Linked DNA regions of Elephas maximus indicus. The protein of the gene in region 1 interacts with the protein of each later gene in a pairwise test. Links are inferred from orthologs where the notes say so. Each region holds a gene or a part of one and is shown on either strand. Other genes may lie near its edges.

The links. The genes of interacting proteins can lie anywhere in the genome.
Region 2: the proteins of keratin-associated protein 10-12-like (region 1) and MRGBP interact in binary tests that used the Homo sapiens proteins (3 or more experiments, as listed by UniProt). The two-hybrid records come from large-scale screens. The link is inferred for Elephas maximus indicus from reciprocal best matches to the Homo sapiens genes KRTAP10-7 and MRGBP.

Annotation. Positions count from the first base shown.
Region 1 is NC_064820.1:228,929,096-228,935,518, reverse strand, and holds keratin-associated protein 10-12-like, read left to right. Parts: upstream 1-5,043; coding exon 5,044-5,871; downstream 5,872-6,423. UniProt on the Homo sapiens protein: In the hair cortex, hair keratin intermediate filaments are embedded in an interfilamentous matrix, consisting of hair keratin-associated proteins (KRTAP), which are essential for the formation of a rigid and resistant hair shaft through their extensive disulfide bond cross-linking with abundant cysteine residues of hair keratins.
Region 2 is NC_064843.1:5,190,556-5,197,830, reverse strand, and holds the start of MRGBP (MRG/MORF4L-binding protein), read left to right. Parts: upstream 1-4,212; 5' UTR 4,213-4,251; coding exon 4,252-4,399; intron 4,400-4,825; coding exon 4,826-4,947; intron 4,948-6,878; coding exon 6,879-6,960; intron 6,961-7,270; coding exon 7,271-7,275.

The DNA.
Region 1 (6,423 bases):
AAAATTCAATCGTGTGATCTCTGGCATTGCTTCTATCACCAAGCCCATATTTTCCAACTACTGATCCTTCTTCTTTGTTTCCAACTTTTGCATTCCAATCACCAGTAATTATCGGTGCATCCAGATTGCATATTCCATCAATTTCAGACTGCAGAAGTTGGTTAAAATCTTCAATTTCTTCATCTTTGGCCTTAGTGGTTTGTGTAAATTTGAATAATAGTGGTATTAACTGGTCTTCCTTGAAGGTGTATGGGTACAATCTTATCAATGACACTGTTGTACTTCAGGATAGATCTTGAAATGTTCTTTTTGACAATGAATGCAATGCCATTCCTCTTCAAGTTGTCATTCCTGGCATAGTAGACCATATGATTGTCTGATTCAGAATGACCAATACCAGTTCATTTCAGCTCACTAATGTCTAGGATATTGATGTTTATGTGTTCCATTTCATTTTTGACGATTTCAAATTTTCCTAGGTTCATACTTCTTACATTCCAGGTGCCACATCAGCAAATGAAGGTCCCGAAAGCTTGACTCCATCCACGTCATTAAGGTCGACTCTACTTTGAGGTGGCAGCTCTTCCCCAGTCCCGTTTTAAGTGCCTTCCAACCTGATGGGCTCATCTTCCAGCACTATATCAGACAATGTTCCGCTGCTATTCATAAGGTTTTCACCGGCTAATTCTTTTCAGAAGTAGATCATTGGGTCCTTCTTCCTAGTCTGTCCTAGCCTGGAAGCTCAACTGAAATCTGTCTGCCATAGATGACCCTGCTGGTATTTCAATACCTATGGCATAGCTTCCAGCACCATGGCAATACACAAACCTGCACAGTACAACAAACTGACAGACGTGTGTGGGTACCACAAATGGGTGATTTTAACAAAGAGAAATTTATTCTCTCACAATCTAGAAGGCTAGAAGTCCAAATTCAGGATGCCAGCTCCAAGGGAAGGCTTTCTCTCTGTTGACTCTGAGGGAAGGTCATTGTCATCAATCTTCCCTGGTCAAGGAGCTGCTCAGCACAGGGACCCCGGGTCCAAAGGATACACTATTCTCCTGGCTCTTCCTTTTTGGTGGTATGAGGTCCCCTGTCTCTCTGCTTGCTTCTCTCTTTATAACTCAAAAGAGATTGACTTAAGACACAACCTAGATTGAGTCCTGCCTCATTAACATAACTGCCTCTAATCCTGCCTCATTAACATCAAAAAGGTAGGATTTACAACACATAGGAAAATCACATCAGATGACAAAATGGTGGACAATCACATAATACTGAGAATCACGGACTAGCCAAGTTGACACACATTTTCTGGGGGAACACAATTCAATCCATAACAGAATACAACCAAGGTGATGAGATCTACGTTATTATGTGTATGTGATTACATTATGTAAGATCATAATGCCTGTCTTGTGAGCACCTTGTTGTGAGCTTCCTATGGAGGGACCACATGGCAAGGAACTGAGGGCAGCCTCTGGCCAACAATCAGCAAGGAACTGAGGCCCTCGGTCCGACAACCTGCAAGGGACTGAATCATGCCAACATCCACATGTGCATGAAAGTGGATTCTTCTGCAGCTGAACCTCAGATGATACACCCTCCTCAGAACCCAGCAGAGAACCCAGTCTAGCTGTGTTGGGACTCCTGAACCACAGAAACTGTGAGATAATAAATGTGGGTTATTTTAAGCTATTAAGTTTGTGGTATTTTTTTGAATAGCAATAGAACCCAAACATAAGACCCATGTAGAATTCTACACAGATGTGAGAACATTATATATTCATAGGAAAAGAGCTCCAAGTTATATTACTTTTAGGAAAAACTAAACATGTAGAACAGTGGGGAGAGTGTGATAAAATTTGTATTTTAAAAATTTATACATGTATATATATTCATATATATAGAGAGAGGAAGAGAGGGAGACAGGTCTTGGCTGAAAGCAGAGAATATCAAAAAGATATTTACCTGTGTTTTATTGACTATGCAAAGGCATTGTACTGTATGGATCATAACAAATTATCAATAACATTGTGAAGAACAGGAATTCCAGAATGCAACATGACCAAGAGGCAGTCTTTCGAACAGAACAAGGAGATACTGCGTGGTTTAAAATCTGGAAAGGTGTATGTCAAGGTTGTACCTTTTCACTGTACTTTTTCAATCTGTACGTTAAGCAAATAATCTGAGAAGCTGGACTGTATGAAGAAGAATATGGCATCAGGATTGATGGACAACTCATTAACAACCTGTGACATACAGATGATACAACCTTGCTTGCTGAAAGCGAAGAGGACTTGAAGCGTTTACTGATGAAGATCAATGACTGCTGTAGCCATCAGTAGGGATTGCACCTATACAGAAAGAAAACAAAAATCCTCACAACTGGACCAACAGGAACATTACGATAAACAGAGAAAAGATTGAGTCATCAAGGATTTCATTTTACTTGGATACGCAATCAGCACCCATGGAAGCAGCAGTGAAGAAATCAAACAATGTATTGTATCAGACAAATTGGCTGTAAAAGACCTCTTTAAGGTGTTGAAAAGCAAAGATGTTACTTTGAGGACTAAGGTGTGTCTGACTCAAGCCATAATATTTTCAATCCAATCATATGCATGTGAAAGCTGGACAAAGAAGAAAGACCAAAGAAGAATTGATGCCTTTGAATTATGGTGTTGGTGGAGAATATCGAATATACTATGGACAGCTAGAAGAATGAACGAGTCTGTCTTGGAAGAAATATAGCCAGAATGCTCCTTAGAAGCAAGGATGGCAAGACTTCGTCTCATGTACTTTGAACGTGTTATCGGGTGTGACCAGTCCCTAGAGATGGACATCATGGTTGGTAAGGTAGAGCGTCAGCAAAGAAGAGGAAGACCGTCGATGAGGGTGACGGACACAGTGGCAGCAACAACGGTCTCAAACACAGCAATGATTGTGAGGATGGCACAGGACCAGGCAGGGTTTCGTTCTGTTGTGCATAGGATCGCTATGAGTCAGAAATGGCTCAATGGCACCTAACAACAACATAGAGAGAGACAGAGACAGAGTAAGGTAGGGGAGGGGGGGAGATAGCTTTTCCCTGAGAGAATTTGGTGCTGGCACACAAGTGTAGTATAAGATTCAATCTTTATTTTCCCTAGAGATTCCTTAAATAGAGTTTAAGCTTTTCAGGTCTCTTCAGTTATAATGTCCCAATTTTATACAGAGGCCCTATTGATGTGATGGTAAGATGTGGGAGGAGGGGAAGTAGCATATGATTATATGTTTAGGTCTCATTCTTTTAGTGGATCTGTGCCCCTGGGCTGTGACCTTCACAAGTGCTTCTCAGATTTTTTTTTTCACTCTGTAGGTGAGACAGGAAGGCTAGAGGGGGCTGGAGTTGGGTATTTCCTTTCCCGCATGTGGAAACCTATGTGGGGCTGGAGTTGGGTATTTCCCTTCCCCCATGTAGAAAGTTAGAGGGGGCTGGAGTTGGGTATTTCCTTTCCCCCATGTGGAAACCTATACGGGGCTGGAGTTGGGTATTTCCCTTCCCCCATGTGGAAAGTTAGAGGGGGCTGGAGTTGGGTATTTCCTTTCCCCCATGTGGAAACCTACAGGGGGCTGGAGTTGGGTATTTCTCTTCCCCCACGTGGAAAGTTAGAGGGGGCTGGAGTTGGTTATTTCCCTTCCCCCATGTGGAAAGTTAGAGGGGGCTGGAGTTGGATATTTCCCTTCCCCCATGTGGAAACCTAGAGGGGGCTGGAGTTGGGTATTTTCCTTCCCCCATGTGGAAACCCAGAGGGGGCTGGAGTTGGGTATTTCCCTTCCCCCATGCTGAAAGTTAGAGAGGGCTAGAGTTGGGTATTTCCTTTCCCGAATATGGAAAGTTAGAGGGGGCTGGAGTTGGACATTCCCCCATGTTGATTAGGCTCTGGCAAAATAGGTTTCCTTGAGGGCAGACCATTTGTTAAGGAGAACAGAATACTCTGGCCATTTTTCAAAATGGTTACTTTTCCCCTCCCCTTGCCGGAAGTTCAACGGAATTTCTCTCTGAGTTTCACAGTGAGAACCTGATGGGACTCCTGGAGGTACAACTTAGGAATGTATGGGGTCCTGCTAAAGCTGGGCCTCCAGGAGCTTTTATTCATTTATTTATTTTAACCTCTCAAGCTTGTCCACAGTCTCCAGCAATTAGTCAATTGCCCATTACGAGTTCCTACCTGATGCTAGGTAATGACCCACGTGCAGTCCAGCATGGTCACTGGGTGTGGTTCAGAAACCAAGAACAACAAGCCCAAGAAACTATCCTTGTGCCTGACCAGGGAAGGGGCCAACCCATGTCCAACACAATCCTTGGCCTAGAATACAAAGAATTGCTGCTCTCTCCCAAGCAGAAGGACCATGTGGATAATGGACACACTAAGCCAGGACTGGAGAGAGATGCTTTGTCTATGACAAATGGTCCAGAGCACGGGGCCAAGAGGTCAGGCCCTTGTCACAGCCTGTCTCTCACAAATTGTGGCCCTGGGCAGGACACCCAACACCTCTACAACCCTGCCTTCACAGGGGGCACAGGAAGGCTACACTAGAGGTGTTTGAGGCAGTGGGAAATCACTTAGCAGAGTTTTGGCTTCATACAATCGCCAGTGATTGTCTGAGTGCTTCAATTGCTGTTAACCAGACCATGCTCCCAGCAAATAAAGGAGGACTCAGGACATTCCCACCCTCCTGACACCCACTGCCCTCATGGGCCCCATGGACCCAGGCTGGGATCATAGCCCGGACTCCTACTCCTGTGGGACCACAGATTGCGATGGGACACTGAGGCCCAGGCCACCTATGAAGATTTACAGGCTGGACAACACCATGGCAAACGAACATTCCTAATGAGGTCTTGGAACTGGCTGGGACACCAACCAGGAAGGGGAAGGGCATCATGGAGCCTCTGGTGGGACAACACACAACACGGAGGAATATATAAAAGTCCCGGCAGCTCCGAGAACCTCACTCACTCACTCACTCCTCCTCCCACAACCTCCCCCCACCACCATGGCTGCTTCCACCACGTCTGTCTGCTCTAGCGACCTGAACTATGGCAGTGGCGTCTGCCTGCCTGGTTCCTGTGAGTCTTGCACTGGCCCCTCCTGGGAGGTGGATGACTACCCCGAGAGCTGCTGTGAGCCCCCCTGCTGCACCTCCACCTGCTGCCAGTCCACATGCTGTGCCCCCACCTGCTGTGCCCCAGCCCCCTGCCTGACCCTCGTCTGCACTCCTGTGAGCTGTGTGTCCAGCCCCTGCAGCCAGGCAGCCTGTGGGTCCAATCCCTGCCAATCAGTCTGCACTAGCTCCTGTGAATCCTCCTGCTGCCAACAGTCTAGCTGCCAGCCTGCATGCTGCATACCCTCCCCCTGCCAGCAGGCCTGCCGCATGTCTGTCTGCAGAAAGCCTATCTGCTGTGTGCCTGTCTGCTGCAAGCCTGTCTGCTCCAAGCCGGTCTGCTATGAGACCTCCCCCTGCCCGATTCCCTCGTGCTGCCAGCAGTCTAGCTGCCAGTCTGCATGCTGCACACCCTCCCCCTGCCAGCAGGCCTGCTGCGTGCCTGCCTGCTGCAAGCCCATCTGCTGTGTGCCCGTGTGCTGTGAGGCCACCCCCTGCCCAGCCTCCGCATACTGCCAGCCCTCTCTCTGCGCCTCCTCCTGCTGCAGACCCTCCTCCAGTGTGTCCCTCATCTGCCACCGCTTGTGCAAGCCAGCCTGCCGTGTGCCTACCTCCTCCTGCTGTGCCCCCACCTCCTCCTGTGTGTCCCTGCTCTGCCACCCTGTGTGCCCCCGCCCAGCCTGCTGTGGCCCCTCAACTGGCCAGAAGTCCTCCTGCTGACCAGACACTCCCCCCAGGGCCAGCTGGACTCCAGGCCCCACTGTGGCTATGCTCCTCACATCCACTCAGTCCTCGTCCTGATCTTGTTAGACAGCTGCCCTTGCCTGAGGATGGGACGCCTCCACATCTCCACTGTCCCTTTGTGACCTTTGCCCCCTGGCTCCCCAGGAACCCCCCAGCTGGCCTCAACTTCCAACCTGTCAGCACCTCTTAGGGCACCTGAATAAATTCACCTTGATCCCTTGATCTTTCCTGTCGTCAGACTCTCATGGTGGGGACACAGGGTTTTGACCAGACATTGGTCTTCCCCAGCCACAAACATTCTGTGAATGAGTGACTTACCTCAGAAATCACAGGGCACAGGCCTGAGTCCTCTGGGAGGGTACCTGGGACTCGGCACCACCCAGGAAGGCTCAGGTTCTGCTTGGCCCCCTGCCCAGCGCTCCCCCAAGCTGGTTGTTCACAGACCCGCCATGGTCCAGGAGGCTCTCCAGACCCCTGTAGAGCCCCTTTCCATCCACTGTCCTACCAGGAAAACCCACCCCTTCAGAA
Region 2 (7,275 bases), on another chromosome or scaffold:
GATATGTTTCAACAAACGGATGCAGCACTGGAGGTGCTCACTCGTCTATGCCAAGAGATTTGGAAGGCAGCTACCTGGCCAACCGCCTGGAAGAGGTCCACATCTGTGCCCATTCCAAAGAAACATGATGCAACAAAATGCAGAAATTATTGAACGATATCATTAATATCATAAACAAGTAAAATTTTGCTGAAAATAATTTAAATGCAGTTGCAGCAGTACATTGACAGGGGGCTGCCAGAAATTCAAGCTGGATTCAGAAGAGAAGGCGGAACCAGGGATATCGTTGCTGATGTCAGATGGATCTTGGCTGAAAGTGGAGAATACAAACAGATGTTTACCTGTGTTTTACTGACTATGCAAAGGTGTTCGACTGTGTGGATCATGACAAATTATGGATAACATTGTGAAGAATGGGAATTCCAGAACACTTAATTGTGCTCATGAGAAACTGTACATAGACCAAGAGGCAGTCATTTGAACAGAATAAGGAGATACTGTTTGGTTTAAAATCAGGAAAGTTGTGCATCAAAGTTGTATTCTTTCACCATACCTATTCAATCTATATGCTGAGCAAATAATCCAAGAAGCTGGACTATGTAAAAAAGAGCTCGGCATTAGGATTGGAGGAAGACTTACTAACAACCTTTGTTACACAGAGGACACAACCTTCCTTGCTGAAAGTGAAGAGGACTTGAAGCACTTACTGATGAAGATCAAAGACCACAGCCTTCAGTATGGATTACACCTCAACATAAAGAAAACAAAAATCCTCACAACTGGACCAATGAGCAACATCATGATAAACAGAAAATATTGAAGTTGTCAAGGATTTCATCTTACTTGGATCTGCAATCAACACCCATGGAAGCAGCAGTCAAGAAATCAAGACACGTTGTATTAGGCAAATCTGCAGCAAAAGACCTCTTTAAAGTGTTGAAAAGCAAAGATTTCACCTTGAAGACTAAGGTTCGCCTGACCCAAGCCATGGTGTTTTCAATCACCTCATGTGCATGTGAAAGCTGGACAATGAATGAGGAAGATCAAAGAAGAATTGACACCTTTGAATTGTGGTGTTGGCAAAGAATATTGAACATACCATGGACTGCCAAAAGAATGAACAGATCTGTCGTGGAAGAAGTGCAACCAGAATGTTCCTTAGAAGCAAGGATGGTGAAACTATGTCTCACATACTTTGGACATGTTATCAGGAGAGACGAGTCCCTGGAAAAGGATATCATGCTTCGTAAAGTGGTAAAGTAGGTCAGTGAAAAAGAGGAAGACCCTCAACAAGATGGATTGACACGGTGGCTGCAATAATGGGCTCAAGCATAACAAGGATTGTGAGGATGGCTAAGGATCGGGCAGTGTTTTGCTCTGTTGTACATAGGGTCACTCTGAGTCAGAATCGACTCAACGGCACCTAACCACAACAACAACAATATAAAGGGATGAAACACTGACACATGCTACAACATGGATGAACCTAGAAAACTGAGGGAAAAAAGCCAGTCACAAAAGAATACCTATCGTAGAATCCTATTTATATTAAATTTCTAAAAAGGCAAATCTCTGGAGACAGAAAGTAAAGCAGTGGTTGCCTGAGCATTGGGACAGGGGAGGTTGGGGAGAAATGGGCAGTGATTGATAATGGGTTGTTGTTGTTGTTGTTAGGTGCCCTTGAGTCACTTCTGACTCATAGCAACCCTGTGTACAACATAACAAAACAATACATGTTTGATCAATTTCAGACTACAGAAGTCTGTAAAAAAAAAACTTCCATTTCTTCATCTTTGGCCTCAGTGGTTGAGGCATAGATTTTAATAATAGTCATATTAACCAGTCTTCTTTGTAGGCATATGGATATTGTCATGGATTGAATTGTGTCCCCCAAAAATGTCTGTCAACTTGGCTAGGTCATGATTCCCTTGTATGATTATCTACCATTTTATCTTCCGATGTGGTTTCCCTAGGTGTTGTAAATCTTATCACTATGATGTAATAAGATGGATTATTGGCAGTTACATAGATGGGGTCTACAAGATTAGATAGTGTTTTAAGCCAATCTCTTTTGAGATATAAAGGAGAGAAGTGAGCAAAGAGATGGGGGACCTCATACCACCAAGAAAGCAGCACCGGGAGCAGAGCGCATCCTTTGGACCTGAGGTTACTGCGCTGAGATTCTCCCAGACCAAAGGAAGATTGATGACAAGGATCTTCCTCTAGAATCAACAGAGAGAAAAAGCCTTCCACTAGAGCTGACGCCTTGAATTTGAACTTGTAGCCTACTAGACACTGAGAGGATAAATTTCTTTGTTTAACCATCCCCTTGTGGTGTTTCTGTTATAGCAGCGCCGGATGGCTGGGAGAGATATCACGCCGTCACTGGCAGTGTTGTACTTCAGCATAGCTCTTGAAATGTTCTTTCTGATGATAAATGCAGCACCATTCCTCTTCACCTTGTCCTTCCTGGGACAGTAGACCATATGACCGTCCAATTCAGAGTGGCCGGTGTCAGTCCGGCTCAGCTTCCTAATGCCCAGGGTATCCGTGTTTACAAGCGCCGTTTCCTTTTTGACCAATTTTCCTAGATTCACACTTCGAACACTGCACCTTTAGATTATGAATGGATGTTTGCAGCTATTTCTTCTCATTTTGAGTCGTGCCGCATCAGCAAATGAAGGTCCCCAAAGCTTGACTCCATTTACACCATTAAGGTCGACTCTACTTCGAGGAGGCAGCTCTTCCCCAGCCGTCTTCTGAGTGCCTTCCAACCTGAGGGGCTCAGCTTCCAGCACTATATCAGACCATGTTCCGCTGCTATTCATAAGGTTTTCACTGGCCAATGCTTTTCAGAAGTAGACCACCAGGTCCTTCGTCCTAGTCTGTCTTCGCCTGGAAGTTCAGCCGAAATCTGTCTGCCGTGGGTGACCCTGCTGGTGTCTGAATACCGGTGGCATAGCTTCCAGCATCACAGCAACATGCAAGCCCCCACAGTACAACAAACTGACAGACACGTGCGGGATTCCTTTATATGGCTGAACAATATTCCATTGTACGGATGGACCATGTTGTGTTTATCCATTCATCAGTTAGTGGGCAATTGGGAGGTTTCTACTTTTGGCTACTATGAAAAATGCCGCTATGACCATTCTTGTACATGTTTTTGTGCGGACATGTATTTTTCTTCTCTCTTGGGTAGATACCTAGAAGTGGAATTGTTGGCTCCAACGGTAATTCTGTTTAACCATTGAGGAACTGCCAAAACTGTTTACACAGCAGCTAAACCATTTTACATTTCTTCAGCAATGTACTAGGGTTCCAATTATTCCACATCTCTGCCAACACTTGTTTGTTTCTGGGGTTTTCTTTGCTATTTTTTGTTTGTTTGCTTTCTTATTCTAGCCATTCTACGGATGTGATGTGGTATTTCATTGTGGTTTGATTTGCATTTCCCTGATGCCTTTTAGCCATCTATCTATCCTATTTGGAGAAATGTCTATTCAAATCATTTGCCCATTTTTTAATTGGGTTTTCTTTTTATTATCGAGTTGTAAGAATTCTTTATGTATTCTGGATATGAGTCCCTTATCAGATATAACTTGCAAATATTTTCTCTCACTCTGTAGGTTGTGTTTTCACTTTCCTAATGATGTTCCGGAAACCCTGGTGGTGTAGTGGTTAAGTGCTATGGCTGCTAACCTAAAGGTTGGCAGTCCAAATTCGCCAGGCGCTCCTTGGAAACTCTATGGGGGCAGTTCTACTCTGTCCTATAAGGTCGCTATGAGTCGGAATCAACTCGACGGCACGGGTTTTGGTAATGATGTTCTTATTTTATTTTATTGTGTTGAAAACAATACATAACAAAACATTCGCCCTCACAACCATTTCTACATGTACAATTTAGTAACATTGATTACATTCTCCAAGTTGTGCAGCCATTCTCGCTATCCTTTTCCAACTTGATGCTCCTCTTTTTTTTTTTTTTTTAGCGTTCTTTTTAAAATTGTGCTTTAAAAACAAATCCCCAAATTATAAGTGTCACAGCGCCAGTCCCCGCACACGTGGGCGCTGCGCCGCGGCAGGCTGTCGCCAGGGGGCGCGGCTGGCGCGCACCGCGCCCAAGCAACACTGCGCCTGCTCAGGGCCAGAGCGCGAGCCCGAGCGCGTCCCGCAGTCGAGCGCGCGCCTGCGTGTGCGCCTGCGCGGAGCGAGGCCGCGCCTCCCGCCGGGTCAGCTCGGCCGCCGGCCATGGGGGAGGCCGAGGTGGGCGGCGGCGGCTCCGCGGGCGACAAGGGCCCGGGAGAGGCGGCCACCAGCCCGGCAGAGGAGACAGTGGTGTGGAGTCCCGAAGTGGAGGTGTGCCTCTTCCACGCCATGCTGGGCCACAAGCCCGTTGGTGAGCGCGCCGGAGGCCGCGGACTCGCGTGGGGGCGGGGCGGCAGGGTAACCGTCGGGGGCCGGAGGGCGGGGCGGCGGCGGACCCACCCCACCGCGCGGACCCCCCCCACCGCGCGGACCCCCCCCCACCGCGCGGACCCTCCAAACCGCGTGAGCCCCCTCCCCACTGCACGGACCCCCCCAAACCGCGCGGACCCTTCCACCTAGCGGGCCCTCTCCACCCGGCCCCTCCCGCTCATCCCTGCCCTTTGCCACTGTGGATCCCCCCTTGTACCCCCCCACGGACCCCTTCCCCTCCTGTTCCCCCCATCTCTGTCCCCCCACCAGCCGTTGCTGTCCCAACCACAGACACCTGCTGGCTTCTCCTGTCCAGCCCGTGCCCCTTTCTTCTGCCCCCTTACCTGCTTCCCAACGCCTCTGGCAGGTGTGAACCGGCACTTCCACATGATTTGCATCCGGGACAAGTTCAGCCAGAACATAGGGCGGCAAGTCCCATCCAAGGTTATCTGGGACCACCTGAGCACTATGTATGACATGCAGGCACTGGTGAGCTTTGACCCCTGATCGTCCTGTGTATAGAATCAGAGCTCTTCATCCCAGACTGAGCTCAGACTTCCTTGCATGGGTAGCTGAGGACCCCCACAGGACAGGCCCGGCCCTCATGCAGTGGACAACAGGGCATTAAACAAGGGCTCTCTCGCAATAGGGCACCCAGTTTGTGGAAACCAAGCTTGCTGGTGGAAGCCAGTCCCTGGTGGGCCCTGGGGTGGGTCTTCCAGCACCAGGCACTCAAGTGCAGGCAGCGTAGCTACCTGGACTGCTAGCTGAGCTCAGGGAGAGGCAGCAGCATCGCTAGTCTGTGGGAAGTCCCGGCGTGCTGCAGGCAGGAAGGGGACCTCTGTGGCTTCTCATGGAGCCAGCAGAGCTCATAGCTGGCAGCCAAAGGGCGAGTGGGTTAACTAGGGAACCAGGACGGAGCTGCACTGGACAGGGCGGGGTTATCAGGTGACCAGGGGAGTGGGCACCTCTGCTGGTGCTGGGACCCACTGTGCCCCACGCACTGAGTTGGGTGCACCAGCCCCTGGCCAAGGCCTGGGCAGCACATCGGCGAGGCCGTGAACATATTGGCCTTTTTGGGTTCAGGTTCTGCTCTTCCACTCACTGCCGGTTGTCCTGGGCGAGTTCCCCTCTTCCTAGTTGTGAAGAAGGGAGGAAGATGGTAGCCATGCTGCTGTGGGCTGCTGTAGGCAGGGGTGTGAGTAGCCGGTCGTGGGCACAGGGGAAGCTTTAGTTGCTGTTACTGCAAGTGACTGAGCTTGGGCACTGGTCACTTATTCCTTGTTACTACTCTCTGGGTCAGTGGCAGGCCACACCCTGCCACTTCCAAATGACCTAGGGTGCCGAGGGGTCAGCAGTGCCCAGATTCTCCCCACTCAGCAGAGCACGGACTCAGCCAGGCTATGAAGGCCCCGGGCCTGCCCTCTCGACACCTGCCCTGTAACACCGTAGGGTGACCTGTGAAAGGTAGTGGGGGCACCAAGCCCCAACCCTGGGCTAGCAATGGTAAAAGCTGGGGCTCAGAGAAGCCTATGCAGCACAGTCCCTGTCCATGGCCCGCTCCTGAGGTGGGCTTGGCTCAGGATCACAGTCATGTGAAGTCAGGCCCGAGGCAGCCAGGCTGTAGAAACCGCCCCTGTGAGCTCAGGGGGATAGGGAGTGCCAGCCCCTCCCCTCCCTGCCTTATTCCTGTAATGGCTCCTTACGTCACTGGGGGAGGGAGACGTGGGGATGGTATCTGTTCTAGAACAAGGACCACACAGGCTGACTCCAAACCACCAGGACCCATCCCGGCAGATGGATTTCAAGGGCCCGGAGTCTGTGGGGTTTTTGGAGTGCACAGGTTTTGATTGGCACATGTAAGCCTGCAGGTGTGGGCAGGCTACCTGGCGGAACACAGCCCACCTCCCAGGTCAGCCAGGACTGTCCCACCAGCCCATCTTTCCCTCCCGTCTGGTGGTCCTGCCTTTCCAGGGTCTCTGTCCCTTCTGGGACCCATGGCCTAGAGGACAGGAGAGCCCCGATCAGAGTCCATTGGTGAGTGTGCTCTGCTGCTTTGCCTCCTTACCCCTGAGAGGCTTCACCCAGCTTCCCTGAGTGTCGCCCACGTGGACAGAGGTGGCAGCACTGTGTTCTGTCAGCCCCTCCCTGCCCTCTGCCCTGCACTCTGAGTCGGCTGTGGTCTGGCCAGCTCTTGGGTGAGCAAGCTGTGAGCCAGTTGTGCAGCACCTACAGCGTTGCCTCTGCCCTGGCTCTGGGAGTGTGTTAGTGGGTAGGCTGGGCCGCTCTGGGTGCTACTTGTCCCCACCCCCAGGACACTGGGTGTCTACATTCATTCGTTGCTCCTGCATACACTTTTAATGGCTGAAATCACATTTTCTTCATTTCTTAAAAAAACATTACACCCTCTCTGACGTCAGCATGAGTCCGAGATCCTCCCCTTTCCAAATCCAGAGAGGAACTTCGTCCTTCCAGAGGAAATCATCCAGGAGGTCCGAGAAGGTAAGACGCAGGCCACTGAAGTGGGGTTTGGAGACTAGTAAAAGGCGGGAGCTGGCTGAGGGCGGCAGCACTGGGTGAGGCCACGTGCCAGGGAGGACCAGGGTCTGGGAGGGGAGTGAATGGGTACTTAGGGGCCCCGCTCAGCCTGGACTTGGGGGCCAGGGGACTTCCACAATAGGAGAGGGTTCTTTCCTTGAAAAGCGGTGCGGTAGAATCCGTGTGCCGTCTGCAGCGTTGGCTGGCCTTGCCCTGGCTCTGCTGCTCACCGGGTGAGCCTCCCCCAAGCAGGGCCGTCGGTCTCCCTCCACAGGAAAA